Macaca mulatta: one gene and its partner. The protein of the gene in region 2 purifies or fractionates together with the protein of the main gene of each other region. This does not show direct contact. Links are inferred from orthologs where the notes say so. Each region holds a gene or a part of one and is shown on either strand. Other genes may lie near its edges.

The links. Proteins that work in one complex are often made in the same cells at the same time.
Region 1: the proteins of DLAT (region 2) and PDHA1 fractionate together in Homo sapiens (co-fractionation; 3 studies listed by BioGRID). This does not show direct contact. The link is inferred for Macaca mulatta from reciprocal best matches to the Homo sapiens genes DLAT and PDHA1.

The regions. Positions count from the first base shown.
Region 1 is NC_133426.1:19,088,544-19,096,059, reverse strand, and holds part of PDHA1 (pyruvate dehydrogenase E1 component subunit alpha, somatic form, mitochondrial), read right to left. Parts: intron 6,142-7,516; coding exon 6,050-6,141; intron 4,734-6,049; coding exon 4,641-4,733; intron 3,573-4,640; coding exon 3,417-3,572; intron 3,244-3,416; coding exon 3,172-3,243; intron 1,024-3,171; coding exon 956-1,023; intron 1-955. UniProt on the Homo sapiens protein: The pyruvate dehydrogenase complex catalyzes the overall conversion of pyruvate to acetyl-CoA and CO(2), and thereby links the glycolytic pathway to the tricarboxylic cycle.
Region 2 is NC_133419.1:112,776,553-112,784,580, forward strand, and holds the start of DLAT (dihydrolipoyllysine-residue acetyltransferase component of pyruvate dehydrogenase complex, mitochondrial), read left to right. Parts: upstream 1-3,311; 5' UTR 3,312-3,376; coding exon 3,377-3,655; intron 3,656-4,110; coding exon 4,111-4,212; intron 4,213-4,761; coding exon 4,762-4,886; intron 4,887-5,038; coding exon 5,039-5,192; intron 5,193-5,950; exon of another isoform or gene 5,951-6,750; intron 6,751-8,028.

The sequences.
Region 1 (7,516 bases), on a different chromosome or scaffold from region 2:
ACTACTGCTGTCTTCTAGAAAACGGTACGCTGGTAAGTCACGTGGCTTCCCTGGCATTCTGACAACAGGGGCCAAGTTTTTGCTTGCTTCTTTGACTTAGACATAAGGGTCTAAAGAAGTGTCACTCATCCCACCCATTTGGGCTCCTGTATACTACATGGGAGGGGACAGCAGAGATGGTGTGTGTGGTGATAGATTTTAAGAGCACCAAGCAGGAAATCCACGTGCCTTGCCTTTCTCCCTTAAGCCCCCCTAAAGAAGCATAGCCAGCAAAACCAATGTATCTTACGCTTACATCATTTGAAGTAACACTAAAAGGATTCTACCATTTTCCACAACAGATTTACACAAAGTGGATCTATTCCATATACTGTGCTCTCTACATGATTTTCCCTTAGAAATCCACTCTACAAAGGCTTATTTATTCAACTGTGTCAACCCTGGGATTCCAGAATTACAGGCCAGAGCTAAGCAAAAAAGTAAAATTCATGCCTTTCTAGTGAAACCTAGCTTTTTTGATTGATGTATTTGAACGGATTGAACACCTAGTTACCCTTAGCTCTATACCAGACAGAAGAACATCTCCAAATTCTGATCCTCCTCAGGTGGAGTATGCCATGCATGGACTTGGGGTAATGCCTACAAAAGCTAAATGCCCCCAAGATACTACACTACCATCGGTCTTGTTTTATGTAACAATTTTCCTGCACAATTAAGGTATATAACACTCTAAAAATCACTGCTCGTGCTCACACACACTATACATTGTAGGCATTTTCAGTAAAGCTTTCTTATTAGGAGGCACTGCTTTCAGGTAACTTGATGCCAACACAACTGCATGCATGAAGTGAACTGGTATCTAGCTCCAAAAGCAAATATTGAAATGTGTTTCTTTTGCCATGTAACACCATTCAAAGCCCACCCCCTCTGGAAACCACAGTGCCCATGAGCACACCTGACTCCAGGATCACTCATACTGTGTCCGTGGTAACGATAAGTCTGCAGCTCCATCAGGATGGGCCCCTAAAACAGAAGTGGTAGGCAGTTAGGAACGATGACGTGAAGAGCAGGCTGACACTCCACGGCCTCAAACGCAGGCCCTTTATTAAGCATCCAGTGTATTCTTACCAGATCTTTTGAGGTATCATGGATTTCTTATTGGTTGACTGATCTGTTCTCATTTCTAGCATGTATTGATTGCATATTTCAGTCTTCTCATTTATAATAAGGCAATCTACCAACAGCTTGTTTTGAATCAAAAAGGCTTTGAAGGCCAGGTGTGTTGGCTCATGCCTGTAATCCCAGCACTTTGGGAGGCTGAGGTGGTTGGATCACTTGAGCCCAGGAGTTCGAGATCGAGACCAGCCTGGACAACATGGCAAAACCCCATTTCTACAAAAAACACAAAAATTAGCCAGGCATGGTGGCATGTACCTGTAGTCCCAGCTACTTGGATCACCTGAGTCTGGAAGGTCAAGGCTGCAGTGAGCTGTGAGTGTGCCACCATGCAAGACCCTGTGAAAAAAAAAAAGGCAGCTGGGTGCGGTGGCTCACGCCTGTAATCCCAGCAGCGGGCGGATCACAAGGTCAGGAGATCAAGACCATCCTGACTAACACGGTGAAACCCCGTCTCTACTTAAAATACAAAAAAAAATTAGCCGGGCACGGTGGCGGGCGCCTGTAGTCCCAGCTACTCGAGAGGCTGAGGCAGGAGAATGGCATGAACCCGGGAGGCGGAGCTTGCAGTGAGCCGAGATCGCACCACTGCACTCCAGCCTGGGGGACAGAGCGAGACTCTGTCTCAAAAAAAGAAAAAAAAAAGGCTTTGAGCATGTTCTAGAGCCTCCTGCTATTGGCTAGGCAGATTTCCATCTCATGCTCCTTTCTCGTAGTGTGTTGTGGGGCTGGCAGCCACTTCTACTTCACAGATCCTGCTAGTGTGTAACAAAGTTGACAGGCACCAACAACCTCTGCTACCCAAACCCTGAGGCTCTGCTGGGAGTATGACCACTTGGGGTCTATCACCAAGTGGCTTGCTCATTCTACACTAGCCCACTTCCAGGAGATGGCTCTGAACACTGAGGGATGGGGAAACATTGAGGATCCTTGATTGGTTTGGTGCAGTAGTTAAAATGGGTGAGTGGGGAGCTGGCTCCATGATAAGAGTAGCTATGTACCTTTAACTGCTCTGTGGCTCAGTTTCCTTGTCTGCAAAATGGGCAAAACAGTAACACCTAACTCAGAATTGTGAAGGTTATGTGTTTGGGAAGTCATACATTCTACAAATCACCATGTCTCCAGCCAGGGCTGGCCCCCATGTATTCTTTTCAGGAATTGGGAGAGGTGGGGTCAATATCCATCACTCAGGGCCTGGCACTCCCAGCCTTAGGGTCCTGACAGACTGCTCAGCCCATTGTATCCAAGCTGTCATCTTGGTCCTGCTCTAGTTCATTCTACTCATTAGCTCTTATTTAATGTTACTACATCCCACCCTTACTTCCCTGTCTCCCCACTTTCTGACATTTGCATCACTGCCCAAACATACATGGTATGGCACTGAAGTGACAACTTCAGAAACCTTGTGTCTGGGCTGTGGAACACTAATTTAGGGAGAACACCTAAACCTCCTAAGCCTATACTAGTGCTGAAGGAACTGAAACCTCTTTAGGCCAGTCTCCCTGTTACCATCTCCCTCACTGCCATACACTGAAGGGAAAGATCCTTAGGACTGAGCAAGACTAAGATTACAAGCTTCAACCATACTGTTTGTGTAAGACACACATATTAAATGCCTATTGTATACATGACATTCTATGCTGGACACTACGGGGATCCCCAATCTGTTCCTTCAAGGGACTCATGATTAATGGGGGGTGGGGAGGAGGGACAGAATTAACCTAACAAAAAGGCAGTGTAGTTGTCATGATGAAGACAGGCGAAAGCAGAGGAAGCACCAGGACAGACTTCCCCCAAATGAGAGAAATGTGGGCTTCCCAGCAGGTGAGCTACCAAGACCAAGCTACCCAAAGGAGCCCTGCTTGCTTCACTCTGCTTCCATCTTGTGCACCTCAATTAGCAGCTACCCACTAACAGCTTCAGCAGGCACACGGGAGGCAGTCTTTGAACTTCCAGAGATAAATGTCATTAGCCCAGAGGCCTTTAGAGTCTTACCTTCCCAGATCTACAATAGGCGGCAGCAAACCTTGTCGCCTCTCGGACGCACAAGATATCCATTCCATCCACCTGTTAATAAACGGGAGGGGCGAAGCATGAATCCAGCTGCCCCAAACCATTTTACTTTCACATCACCTGCTTATGTTTGAGAACGAAACTCTTCAATGTTTCTAAGATTGTCAAGGGTCTGCACAAGGACATACCCCTGGCCTTGGCCCCGGCCCCACCACAGGTGTCCTTACTCTCAGCCCAGGAATGAAATCGCCTCTCTTGTAGTAATCAGTGCTGGCTGCTGCTCTCTCAACAGATGTTCCCATTCCATAGCGATTATTCTCACAGATGAAAATACAAGGTAATTTCCACAAAGCTGCCATGTTGTAAGCTTCAAATATCTGGCCCTGGAAGTAGTTATGAAAAGGGGTTTCATTTGGCTTCTTTCTCTAGGATCCATCATCTGTAACAGCTGCTGCTCTGCCTGGCACAGAAAGCTTTCATAAAGCACAGAAAGCCTCCTCTTCTAAAACCGAGCTTTGGGCTGGGCACGGTGGCTCAGGCATGTAATCCCAGCACTTTGGGAGGCCGAGGAGGGTGGATCACGAGGTCAGCAGATCAAGACCGTCCTGGCTAACACGGTGAAACCCCGTCTCTACTAAAAATACAAAGTAGCCGGGCATGGTGGCAGGCGCCTGTAGTCCCAGCTACTTGGGAGGCTGAGGCAGGAGAATGGCGTGAACCCGGGAGGCAGAGCTTGCAGTGAGCGGAGATCGTGCCACTGCGCTCCAGCCTGGGCAACAGAGCAAGACTCTCTCTCAAAAACAAAACAAAAAAAACAACCAAAAAACCGAGCTTTGGATGGTGAGGGAAAGCGGGGTGGGTGACAGATGAGAAGCAGCAGGCATCATACTCTTGCAACTAAGAAAGATGACAAACCAACTACTACTTGTTTCTTTGGGGCCATGCTAGCAGTAAGGAACACACTGGAAAAAAGATCAGTATGAAATCTATCGGGCCCACTGGATAGTCAGAGTGAACCAGCACCTAAGAATCAGCCTCTAGAACAGGGCTTCACAGAGTACCGGCCACAGACTGGGTATTACTCGGTACCAAGAGAAGCACAAAAACTGAATTAGGACTGAGACGCTATTACCCGAATTTGACACTGCCAGCGCGGACATCCAAGAGAATGGGTCTGTATCATTTTGCAATAGGTTAGGGGAGGTCCTTTATCAAGCACTGATATAGAGCAAAGGTGAGCTCCTTCACAGGAATGCGCCCCCCTAAGTCTTTTGTGAAACAATGCTAAAAGGTCACTCTCTAATCTGGCCATAAGTCAACCAAATTTGAGCTAGCCATAGGAATTACTATTTCACCTAATAAGCAATAAGCTGCTTCTTTGGAAATTCAACTGTGAATATTAAACACTTTGAAAATAAGACCGTTATTGGAAAGTTAAGAGACATAATTACCTGGTTAGCAGCACCATCGCCATATAAAGTCAGGCAGACCTCATCTTTTCCATTATACTTACAGGCTAGAGCAATCCCAGCGCCCAGGGGCACCTAACATTAAGGACAACCGAGAAAGGAACCATAGAAATCCATGAGGGGAGATATCAATGCCCTGCATTTTAACTCCTGGTCAGAATCTGGCACAGAAATTACACTGCTGCTACAAACTCTCCTTCCAACCCCATCTCTCTGTTTATCCCACCCCCGATACTTTCAATGAAGCAGTAAAGGAATATATAAATACTATGTTCTATTTTAACCAGTAAGCAATAACATTTCTGCATTCAAGAGTTAAAAAATAAAACGTGGCCGGGCATGGTGGCTCACGCCTGTAATCCCAGCACTTTGGGCAGATCACGAGGTCAAGAGATCGAGACCATCCTGGACAAGATGGTGAAACCCTGCCTCTACTAAAAATACAAAAAATGGCTGGGCACGGTGGCGCTTAACTGTAGTCCCAGCTACTTAGGAGGCTGAGGCAGGAGAATTGCTTGAACCCGGGGGTGGAGGTGCGGTGAGCTGAGATCACACCACTGCTCCAGCCTGGGCGGCTTAGCAAGACTCCATTTCAAAAGAAAAAAGGGGGAAAAAAAAAGTAGGTTTTTTAAAAAAACACATAATAGAATCTTAATATATTAGGAAGAGAAACAGTTGGGATATAATTTTGTGCTGTTAATTCTTCATCATCCACTAACTGATGAGAACAAGGACTCCATAATGAAGTTGACAAGATAAGGCAATGTACTGAAATACAAATAGGAAGGGGAAGGTAGGCTCCACTGCTAGAGGCTCTTGCTTACTTATAAAATAGCAGACACCTAAAAGGAAACATTATAAATCACCATCCAAATCTACTCAACTCATCGCTCAAATGGTAGGATATGAAGCACTAGGTCTTTAAAAGCAAACCAAGCCCCCAAAATACAGTCACGCATCGCTTAACAACAGGGATATATTCTCAGAATTGCATCACTAAGCTATTTTGTCGTGTGAACACCATACTGTAATGCACAAACCTAGAAGGTACAGCCTACTGCACACCTAGGCTGTATGGTAGAGCCTACTGCTCCTAGGCTACAACGCTGCACAGCATGTGACTGTACTGAATCCTGTAGGCAAAATATTTGCGTACCTAAACATAGAAAAGGTAATGTGTTGTGCCACTACAACATCACTAGGTGACAGCAATTTTTCAGCTCTATTATAAGTTTATGGGTCCACCATCATATATGCGACATTGACCAAAGTGTCACTGTGCAGCACATGGCTATACTACTTCACGAAAAGTTGTCTGGGGCTGGGAAAGTTTTTGAAGACAAAGGCCAGGGCCAAATCTAAAGCAGCACACAGTCCTCGTCCTTGACTACCTGCGCTCCCACGATGCCATTGCCCCCGTAGAAGTTCTTGGCATACATGTGCATCGATCCTCCTTTCCCTTTAGCACAACCTCCTTTTCGTCCTGGAAATGGCAGAACATACACATGTGCAGCACAAACCAACTCTACAAAGCAAACCAAACCACACCCCAAGTGGCTCAACCATTAGAACGCAGAGGCCAATTCAGTCATCTAAGTACCTGTCTCTCCAGGCAAACACGTTTCTGCTTGTCCTTTTACTAGTTCCATGTGCTTCAACCTTTCCAGCTTTTCCTACTCTCCAGTCACTTAGTTTCCTTCAGATGTTAGCAAAAGTCCAGATGGTACCCTAGACTTTTTTGGTTTTTTGACCAGTTACCAACATCTTAGGACCTCTCCTCTACTAGTACACTAAATATATTCAATCCTTGAACAGGGTTTGAACTGCACGGGTAAACTTATACAGATTTTTTTTTTTCAGCCACACATGGATTGAAAATACAATATTCTCAGGATGCAAACCCGAAGATATGGAAGGCTGACTTCAGGACTTGAGTATTTGAGGATTTTGGTATATTCAAGGGTCCTAGAACCAATCCCCTGGATATATGGAGGGACAACCATAGTTCAAGAGTCCAGGAGGGCCGGGTGCAGTGGCTCACGCCTGTAATCCTAACACTTTGGGAGGTCGAAGTGGGTAGATCACCTGAGGTCAAGAGTTCGAGACCAGCCTGGCCAACATGCTGAAACCTGGTCTCTACTAAAAATACAAAAATTAGCCAGCTGTGGTGGTTTGGCACCTATAATCCTAGCTACTCGGGAGGCTGAGACAGGAGAATTGCTTGAACCTGGGGGATGGAGGTTGCAGTGAGCCAAAATCACACCACTTCACTCCAGCCACTCCAGCCTGGGCAAAAGAACGAAACTCTGTCTTCAAAACAAAAAAAAAAAAAGAAGAAGAAGGGCTGGGCACAGTGGCCCACACCTGTAATCCTAGTATTTTGGGAGGCTGAGGCAGGCCACTGCACTCTAGCCTGGGCAACAAAGCAAGACTGTCTCAAAAACACAAAACAGGCCAGGCGTGGTGGCTCATGCTTGTAATCCCAGCACACTTTGGGAGGCCGAGGCAGATAGATCACCTGAGGTCAGGAGTTGGAGACCAGCCTGGCCAACATGGTGAAACCCCATCTCTACTAAAAATACAAAAATTAGCCGGGTGTGGTGGTGCATGCCTGTAGTCCCAGCTACCTGGGAGGCTAAGGCATGAGAATTGCTTGAACCTGGGAGGTGGCAGTTGCAGTGAGCTGATATCACACCACTGCATTCCAGCCTGGACAACAGAGTGAGACATAGTCTCAAAAAAAACAAAACAAAACAAAACAAAAAACCAAAACAAAAAAATAGTCAAGGGGGACAAAGAAAAGGGGAATATTAAGAAGATTTCTAGAATTTACATCGCATACCAAGCTTCAACCCAAC
Region 2 (8,028 bases):
AAAACCACGAACTATGAATAAAATGGAGTTTGCAAACTAAATATCATTAATGATTTTCACTTGTGTTTATTGATGAGATTAATCAATAAAGCCATTTACATTTAGTGAAAACAAATTTCCTCAAGTGATCTCCCTGGCAGCATGTTTACTCACTATGTGGAGTGGAGATAAGGATTACTTTATTGCCACAGATATTTTACAATTAGTATTTCTGTGTAAGTACATAGGCTATTTCAAGGACAATTTATTTAGCAATTATTTTGAAATTATATGTAAACATGCAAACAAATAAGAACCCAAGAGTATAAACTCTATGACAAAAGTCATGTATGCAAACATTAAGAACTCTTTCAGAAATGTGTATTTAAAATGACCAGAATTCCCAAATCATTTGAAAGCTGCCTGTTAAATGCCTCTTATCACTTCAACTTAAATGTTTGCTATATTAAATTCTTTATCCCTGAGTGCCTTCGACTTCCAATTATGTATTTTCAACTATTAATTTGCTATCCCATTATGTTAAAATTAAATATGTACATAACTCAAAATCTTTCACTACCAACTAATTTCTCTTTCTCAGTATCAGTGATACCACCATTCTAAGTCTCTCTACTTCAAACCTTTGAGTCTTGAGTCTCCTTTTCCATAATTTCCTTTATCCAATCTGTTTAGTAGAATTCAAGCTTGTTCTCTCAGGACTGATCTGACAAACCTAAACATTCCTAGCCCACCTTTGGTGTAAGCTTGCCATCTCTGGACTGTTTGAGCTATACATTCCTATAATTTAGCTACACTTAAGTCAAAACTATATTCAGGGCACAAACTCACTATTCTGTGAAAAATGCAAAACAGGGTTTAAGCAAGCATACCTAAGTGCACAGCAGATCCTGCAGATCACCTCATACTTTATACCAAAGGCTAATTTAGATCCAGTTATTGTCAGGCCTCTGAGCCCAAGCTAAGCCATCATATCCCCAGCGACCTGCACATATACATCCAGATGGCCTGAAGCAACTGAAGATCCACAGAAGTGAAAATAGCTTAACTGATGACATTCCACCATTGTGATTTGTTTCTGCCCCACCCTAACTGATCGATGTACTTTGTAATCTCCCCCACCCTTAAGAAGTTTCTTTGTAATTCTCCCCACCCTTGAGAATGCACTTGGTGAGCTTCACCCCCTGCCCCCAAACATTGCTCTTAACTCCACTGCCTATCCCAAAACCTGTAAGAACTCATGATAATCCCATCACCCTTGCTGACTCCTTTTTTGGACTCAGCCCACCTGCACCCAGGTGAAGTAGACAGCCTTGTTGCTCACACAAAGCCTGTTTGGTGATCTCGTCACATGGACGCGTGAACAGTTATTAAGTTCAAATGCAGCAAAAGCAGCAAGATATTTTAGCCAACTCAAAAACATTTTTATAATAATTTGTAAGTCCTGGACGGGCTTGTGGCTCACCCCTGTAATCTCAGCACTTTGGGAGGCCGAGGTGGGCGGATCACCTGAAGTCGGAGTTTGAGACCAGCCTTACTAACATGGTGAAACCCCCTATCTACTAAAAATACAAAATTAGCTGGGCATGGTGGCACGTACCTGTAATCCCAGCACTCGGGAGGCTGAGGCAGGAGAATCACTTGAACCTGGGAGGTGGAGGTTGCAGTGAGTCGGGATCATGCCACTGCACTCCAGCCTGGGTGACAGTGAGACTCCATCCCCAAATAATAGTAAAAATTTATAAGTCCTTTCACTAATTACAATTATTCTTCCATTGCTTCTTCCAATTGTTAATTCATAAATTGTACATAATTGTAACAATATAATTGCCCTCCTCTTCATACTATTTCAAATAAGCCTTTTCATTTAATCTGGAAATTTTATATTTCTCAATTATATTGCTTACATACTATTCTGATAGGCAACTGTACCTGCTTAAACATTCCAATTTAAGTAGGCATGAAACAGTATATCCAATCTGTTTTACTTTTCCAAATTAATTGTTAGCAAGATTAGGATTTTTTTTTTTTTAATTTTTTTTTTTTTTAGAGATGGTTGTCTCACTATGCTGCCCAGGCTGGTCTCAAACTTTTGGGCTCAAGCGATTCCCCAACCTCAGCCTCTCAAGTATTGCTGGGACTACAGGCATGCACCACCGCTCCTGGCTAAAATCTTGTTTTAAACAATTTTTTCCTCCAACTTCTTCTTGTGTTCTTGGTGTTCTCTAACCATCTGTACACTGGGGAGGCGGTGATACACAGCATATGCTTCCTCCTTATTTAATGTCACCTTCAGTTCAGAAACGATATGTTTCCTATTTAAAAGACAACTTTACAAGAGAAGCGTACCTAACAAAACGTCTAGGTGACTTTTTGTTCATTGATTCCAAAGACACAATCAGCCCCCGCTATTTAGTGGATACTAAGCTCTGAGGCTACATGGAAGAACCACGCAGGCACTCTTCCTGCCTTCAACAGCTTACAGTTAAGTTTAGGTAGCAAACATTTGAAACATAACGAAGCTTTTGGTTACTTAAAAGAATTCTATGGTGTTAGGGGGTAACACAAACCTGTTTTGTAAACCTGTATCTTTATACAGGGAATATGCTTAATCTTGCTACAGTATACAGGAATGTGGGAATGTTTCTTCCTCTGGGCTGCCTTTCGTACCACCTGGCTGGATGGAACACCTGTTCACTCCACTTTCCACTTGGGCTACAAACCTGAAATGAAATCTTTGCAACCAGTACAGCCTGCGCGGGGCGGGGCCCAGTCCTTCCCCCTTCGGATGCGCAGAAGCAGAGGTCACCACGCTGGACCCCTCGATTTCCTCGCGGGCGGTTCCCGGCTCCTTCACCACCCCAGCGCTTCAAGACCCCCGCCCTTTGGCCTGAGGCTCCCACTGCCCTAGCCAGTTCCCGGGCTCACTTCCAGCTTTTCCAGAAAGCTTGGCCACGCCCCTCGGCCCAGACTCTCAGGCCACTCGGCCGCAATTAACCCTCGTCTCGGTGCCTTTTTAGGCCCCTCCCTCTCAGTCGTGCCCTTCCCATGTCTTAGGCCCCGTCTCACCCTTTCGGATGCCTCCCCTAGGACCTTACCACTTTCCACCCCTTTCCGTCTGTTATTTGTCCCCAACTTGCGCCCGCACAGGCCCCTCTGGAACGCCCCTGCCGCGTGAGTGCCCCTCGTCCCCGCTCAGGGGAGGAAAAGCCTGCGTGCCGCGCATTTCTGGCCTGGGGAGCGGGTGGAGTAAACCTGCGGGAACCATTTTACGACAACGTGCGGCTGTGCGGCGTGGCTGACGGCAAAGCCGCGCTGCTGTTGGAGAGGTCACTCCGGAGACGGCGTTGGTGTTGGGGTGTGGGGGGTTGGTGGCACTATGTGGCGCGTCTGTGCGCGACGGGCCCAGAATGTAGCCCCATGGGCGGGACTCGAGGCTCGGTGGACGGCCTTGCAGGAGGTACCCGGAACTCCACGAGTGTCCTCGCGATTTGGCCCGGCTCCGGCTCGTCGCAACAGCGCGACTACAGGGTATGGAGGGGTCCGGGCACTGTGCGGCTGGACCCCCAGCACTGGGGCCACGCCGCGGAACCGCCTACTGCTGCAGCTTTTGGGGTCGCCCGGCCGCCGCTGTTACAGTCTTCCCCCGCATCAGAAGGTGAGCCCTAGACCCGCCCTTCTCGGATCCCCGTTGTCCTTCAGAGCTGACTGGATGCCTGCAGGATCCTCCTTGAGAGGCCTCATTGATCCTCCAACCATTCCCAGTATCTGCTTTCGTCCTTTGTCCAGTAGTCAGCTTTGGTTCCTTAGCTTCCCTCTCATGATCTATTCCGTTGAAACTATTCCGTTGAAAGGGGAACTTCAAGACTGGGGCTGTATGCAATTATCTGCCGAGGTTCATGCTTTGTGAGACCCGTAGGACTGTGGAGCAGAAAGCCTGTCACTGGAAATTACTAACTTCTCATGGGCAGAAACTGCCTTGGTATCCCTAGTTCCCAGTGTGTAATGGAACTGGATACACTTTGCATGAAATTGAATTGAATGAAATCTTAAGCCAGACTGAGAGTTAGGTAGCCCTTTAAAAATTTAATGTTTCTTCTTTTTCTCTTCCAGGTTCCATTGCCTTCTCTTTCCCCCACAATGCAGGCAGGCACCATAGCCCGTTGGGAAAAAAAAGAGGGGGACAAAATCAACGAAGGTGACCTAATTGCAGAAGTAAGTTGTTTTAAAATAACGGAGATGAGTTCGAAGAGACTGGCTTTGCCGAATTGACTGAACATTGACTTTCTGGATGTGTAGTTACCCCTTTGTTTAAGAAACTGAAGTGTTTTTCACAACTTGATGTTAGACAAGATTGGTTGGATAAGTTGCCAGCAGCTGGCCAAACTGATACTTAGCCAACGCGTTTCTAAAGTAATTTCTTCTTTCAAATCTGTCGTAGTGGCCTTATCGTCACATGAACTGTATCATTCTAGACACAGAGGCCAAGCTGGCCAACATGGTGAAACCCCGTCTCTGCTAAAAATACAAAAATCTGCTGGGCATGGCGGCCTCTGCCTGTAATCCTAGCTACTCGGTAGACTGAGGCAGGAGAATCGCTTGAACGTGGGACGGGGAGGTTGCAGTGAGCCGAGATTGCACCACTGCACTGCAGCCTTGGCGACAGAGTGAGACTCTGTCTCAAGAAAAAAAAAATTCTAGACACAAGCTAATAAACTACATACCGACAGTATAAAGCTGAGCTGCTGCTTTTTGTGTTAAAAGGTTGAAACTGATAAAGCCACTGTTGGATTTGAGAGCCTGGAGGAGTGTTATATGGCAAAGATACTTGTTGCTGAAGGTACCAGGGATGTTCCCATTGGAGCGATCATCTGTATCACAGTTGGCAAGTGAGTAGTGCACTCATAATTTATGGAACTTCATTGCTTGGTGGAGTATTTTACCCAGAATTGAGAATTAGGAGTTAAAGACTATTTTTTAAGACTACTTTTGTGAAAGTTGAATCTGCCCATTATATTTATGCATTCTTTCTCTTCCTTAGGCCTGAAGATATTGAGGCTTTTAAAAATTATACATTGGATTCCTCGCCAGCACCTACCCCACAGGCGGCCCCAGCACCAACCCCTGCTGCCACTGCTTCGCCACCTATACCTTCTGCTCAGGCTCCTGGTAGCTCATATCCCCCTCACATGCAGGTGAGGCTCAGCCTTTGAGTGTTTGCTCTAGGTGATTTATTACTTACTTTTTTTCATAGATGGCTACTACATCTTGGAAACTGACTTTAAATGTGGTTAGTTAGGTCTTGTCATTTGGGAGTATATAGAAATTTAAACATGAAGATTGACAACTTTTCTTCCTGGTTGTTCTTTCCAGTTATAAGAACTTGAACAGTTCCTGTAACCTTTCTCAGCCTCAGTGTAGTACACAGGGTAATTCGTGGCACTTTTCATTCAAGAACATTACATTACAGATTTTGAGGATGATTTTTACTAACATCTATTCCCTGTATAATTAGAGTTTATAGTAGGCTGTGTTAGTCTGTTTTACTCTGGCATAAAGAAATACTTAGGGCTGGGTAATTTGTAAAGAAAAAAAGGTTTATTTGGCTCATGGTTCTGCAGGCTGTACAAGAAGCACGGCGCCAGCATCTGTTTCTCTTGTGGCCTCAGGAAGCTTACAATCATGGTGGAAGGTGGAAGGGAAAGGGGAAGGGTGGTGTGTCACATAATGAGAGAGGGTGCAAGAGACAGAGGGGAGTGGGTACCAGGCTCTTCATAGCAATCAGATTTCCCCTTAACTCATTACCATGGGGCATGCACCAAGCCATTCATGAGGGATCCTCCTCCAACACCCAGACACCTCCCACCAGACCCCATCTCTAACACTGGGGATCATATTTTTTTTTCCACCTAGAAAAAAACTTTATTTACACAATCTTGGATTCTGAATTTCCGATACTTCCAGGGTCTCTTGATCAAATGGGGCCGCAGCAGGTAGGGAAGCAAACACAGGGGCCAGTCCAGATTATCTTACTGAAGAACACCACCAAGAAGAAGGGAAGGCCTAATTCAGTTTTGGTCTGGACTACATCTCCTCGCACTTTGAGATCACCACAGGTAGCTTGGGCTTATTGTTAGGGCCTGTGGGAACATTCTCAATCTTTCTCATCACTAGAAGTCCATCGATGAGTTTTCCAAACATTATATGCTTCCCATCCAGCCAATCGCACTTAGAGCAGGTGATAAAGAACTGACAGCCGTTTGTACTGGAACCACTGTTTGCCACGGAAAGCAGGCCTGGAGCTGAGTGTCTTAAGTTTAAAATTTTTGTCTGCAAATGGCTCCACATAATTACTGGCGACTCCAATACCATCTCCAGTAACAAAATCTCCACCCTGAGTCATGAAATCCTTTATGACCCTGTGGAAAGTGCTTCCTTTGTATCCTATTGGAACCCCATCTTTTCTGAATTCTCTAGTGTAGAACTGCGCAAAGTTCTCGGCCATCTTAGGCACAACTCTGCAAAGAGCTTGATCTTTGTGCGGCCAACTTCCTGACTGCCATTGCTGACATCAAAGAACACCATGGGGTTAGCAGGGCTTGAATTTGCCACCACCCGTGGCTCCGACCGGGAAGCAGAAGTCAGGGATCGTATTTCAGCATGAGATTTGGAGGGGACAAACATCCAAGCTGTATCATAGGTGTCAAGTGCTGTCTGTTGAATGAAAGTCCCCAATTGGTGTTCTTTTGACATGTGGTGATCTATTTTCCAAGAGTAGGTGAAGTAATCCAGTAGTATTAATAAATGAGAAAACTGATAAAAATTAAGTGTAAGATACACATAGGTAATAGCGTTGCAACAAAGTTGAAGGCAGTGAATGTAATCACTGTTGATTGTGCTAACTAAATCAGTTTCTAAGAAACTAAGTCAATTTATTAGGTATTAGGGTTATCTTCTGTATATTTGTGTGCTTTAGATGTTACAAGTGGATAAAAATCCAGCCATCCTTTTCTAAATAATTCTGACTAGCATTTCTCCTGAATCTAGTTTATTTGTAGAAATTTTTGTATAGGAATCATTTTCTTCTTTGGAAATAACGTTCTACTCCGTGGTTTGTTAGTAACAATCATTTAGGATTTTTGCCTGGTGTTCAGTTCACACATGTATTACATGCTGTTCGGCAGATTCTCTCTCATGATACAAGACTGACTTAATTTTCCTCTACTTTGTGCCTGTAGCTTTGTGTGCATGTGCTAGGGTTTTACCTTAATTATTCTTTAAGATACTGAATTGAATTCTGAATCTCTGATACTGTTCTTTAAGATCCTGTATAGAGATTATTGACTTCACTGTTGCTTTTTTTTTTTTTTTGAGCCTGTCACCCAGGCTGGAGTGCAGTGGCGCGATCTCGGCTCACTGCAAGCTCCGCCTCCCGGGTTCACGCCATTCTCCTGCCTCAGCCTCCCAAGTAGCTGGGACTACAGGCGCCCGCCACCTCGCCTAGCAAGTTTTTTTGTATTTTTTAGTAGAGACGGGGTTTCATGGTGTTAGCCAGGATGGTCTCAATCTCCTGACCTCGTGATCCGCCCGTCTCGGCCTCCCAAAGTGCTGGGATTACAGGCTTGAGCCACCGCGCCCGGCTGACTTCACTGTTTCTTAAGAAGCAGATGAAGATGGCAAATTCTGAACAAAAAAGGCACTTACAATTTTTTTTCTAAGGCTTGTCTTAATTTTTTCCCCTCTCTGGAAACATCTTCAATTGAAATTATTTTCCCCTCCGCATAAGCCTGTTGCTAATCAGATACAGAAGACAAAGAGGATAGCAAATGAATCCAAATTCAGTGGACACACAAGCCATATAAATAGTAAAGCAATTTTAAATTTAGATAGGCATTCTGGTGTTTGGATTTTATTGGGGTGGAAATGGCTATTATAAAAACAGGGCTTTTTTTCCCCCTGGTTTTTCATTTTTATTTATTTATTTTTTTGAAACAGGGTCTCAGTCCATCACCTACGCTGGAGTGCAGTGGT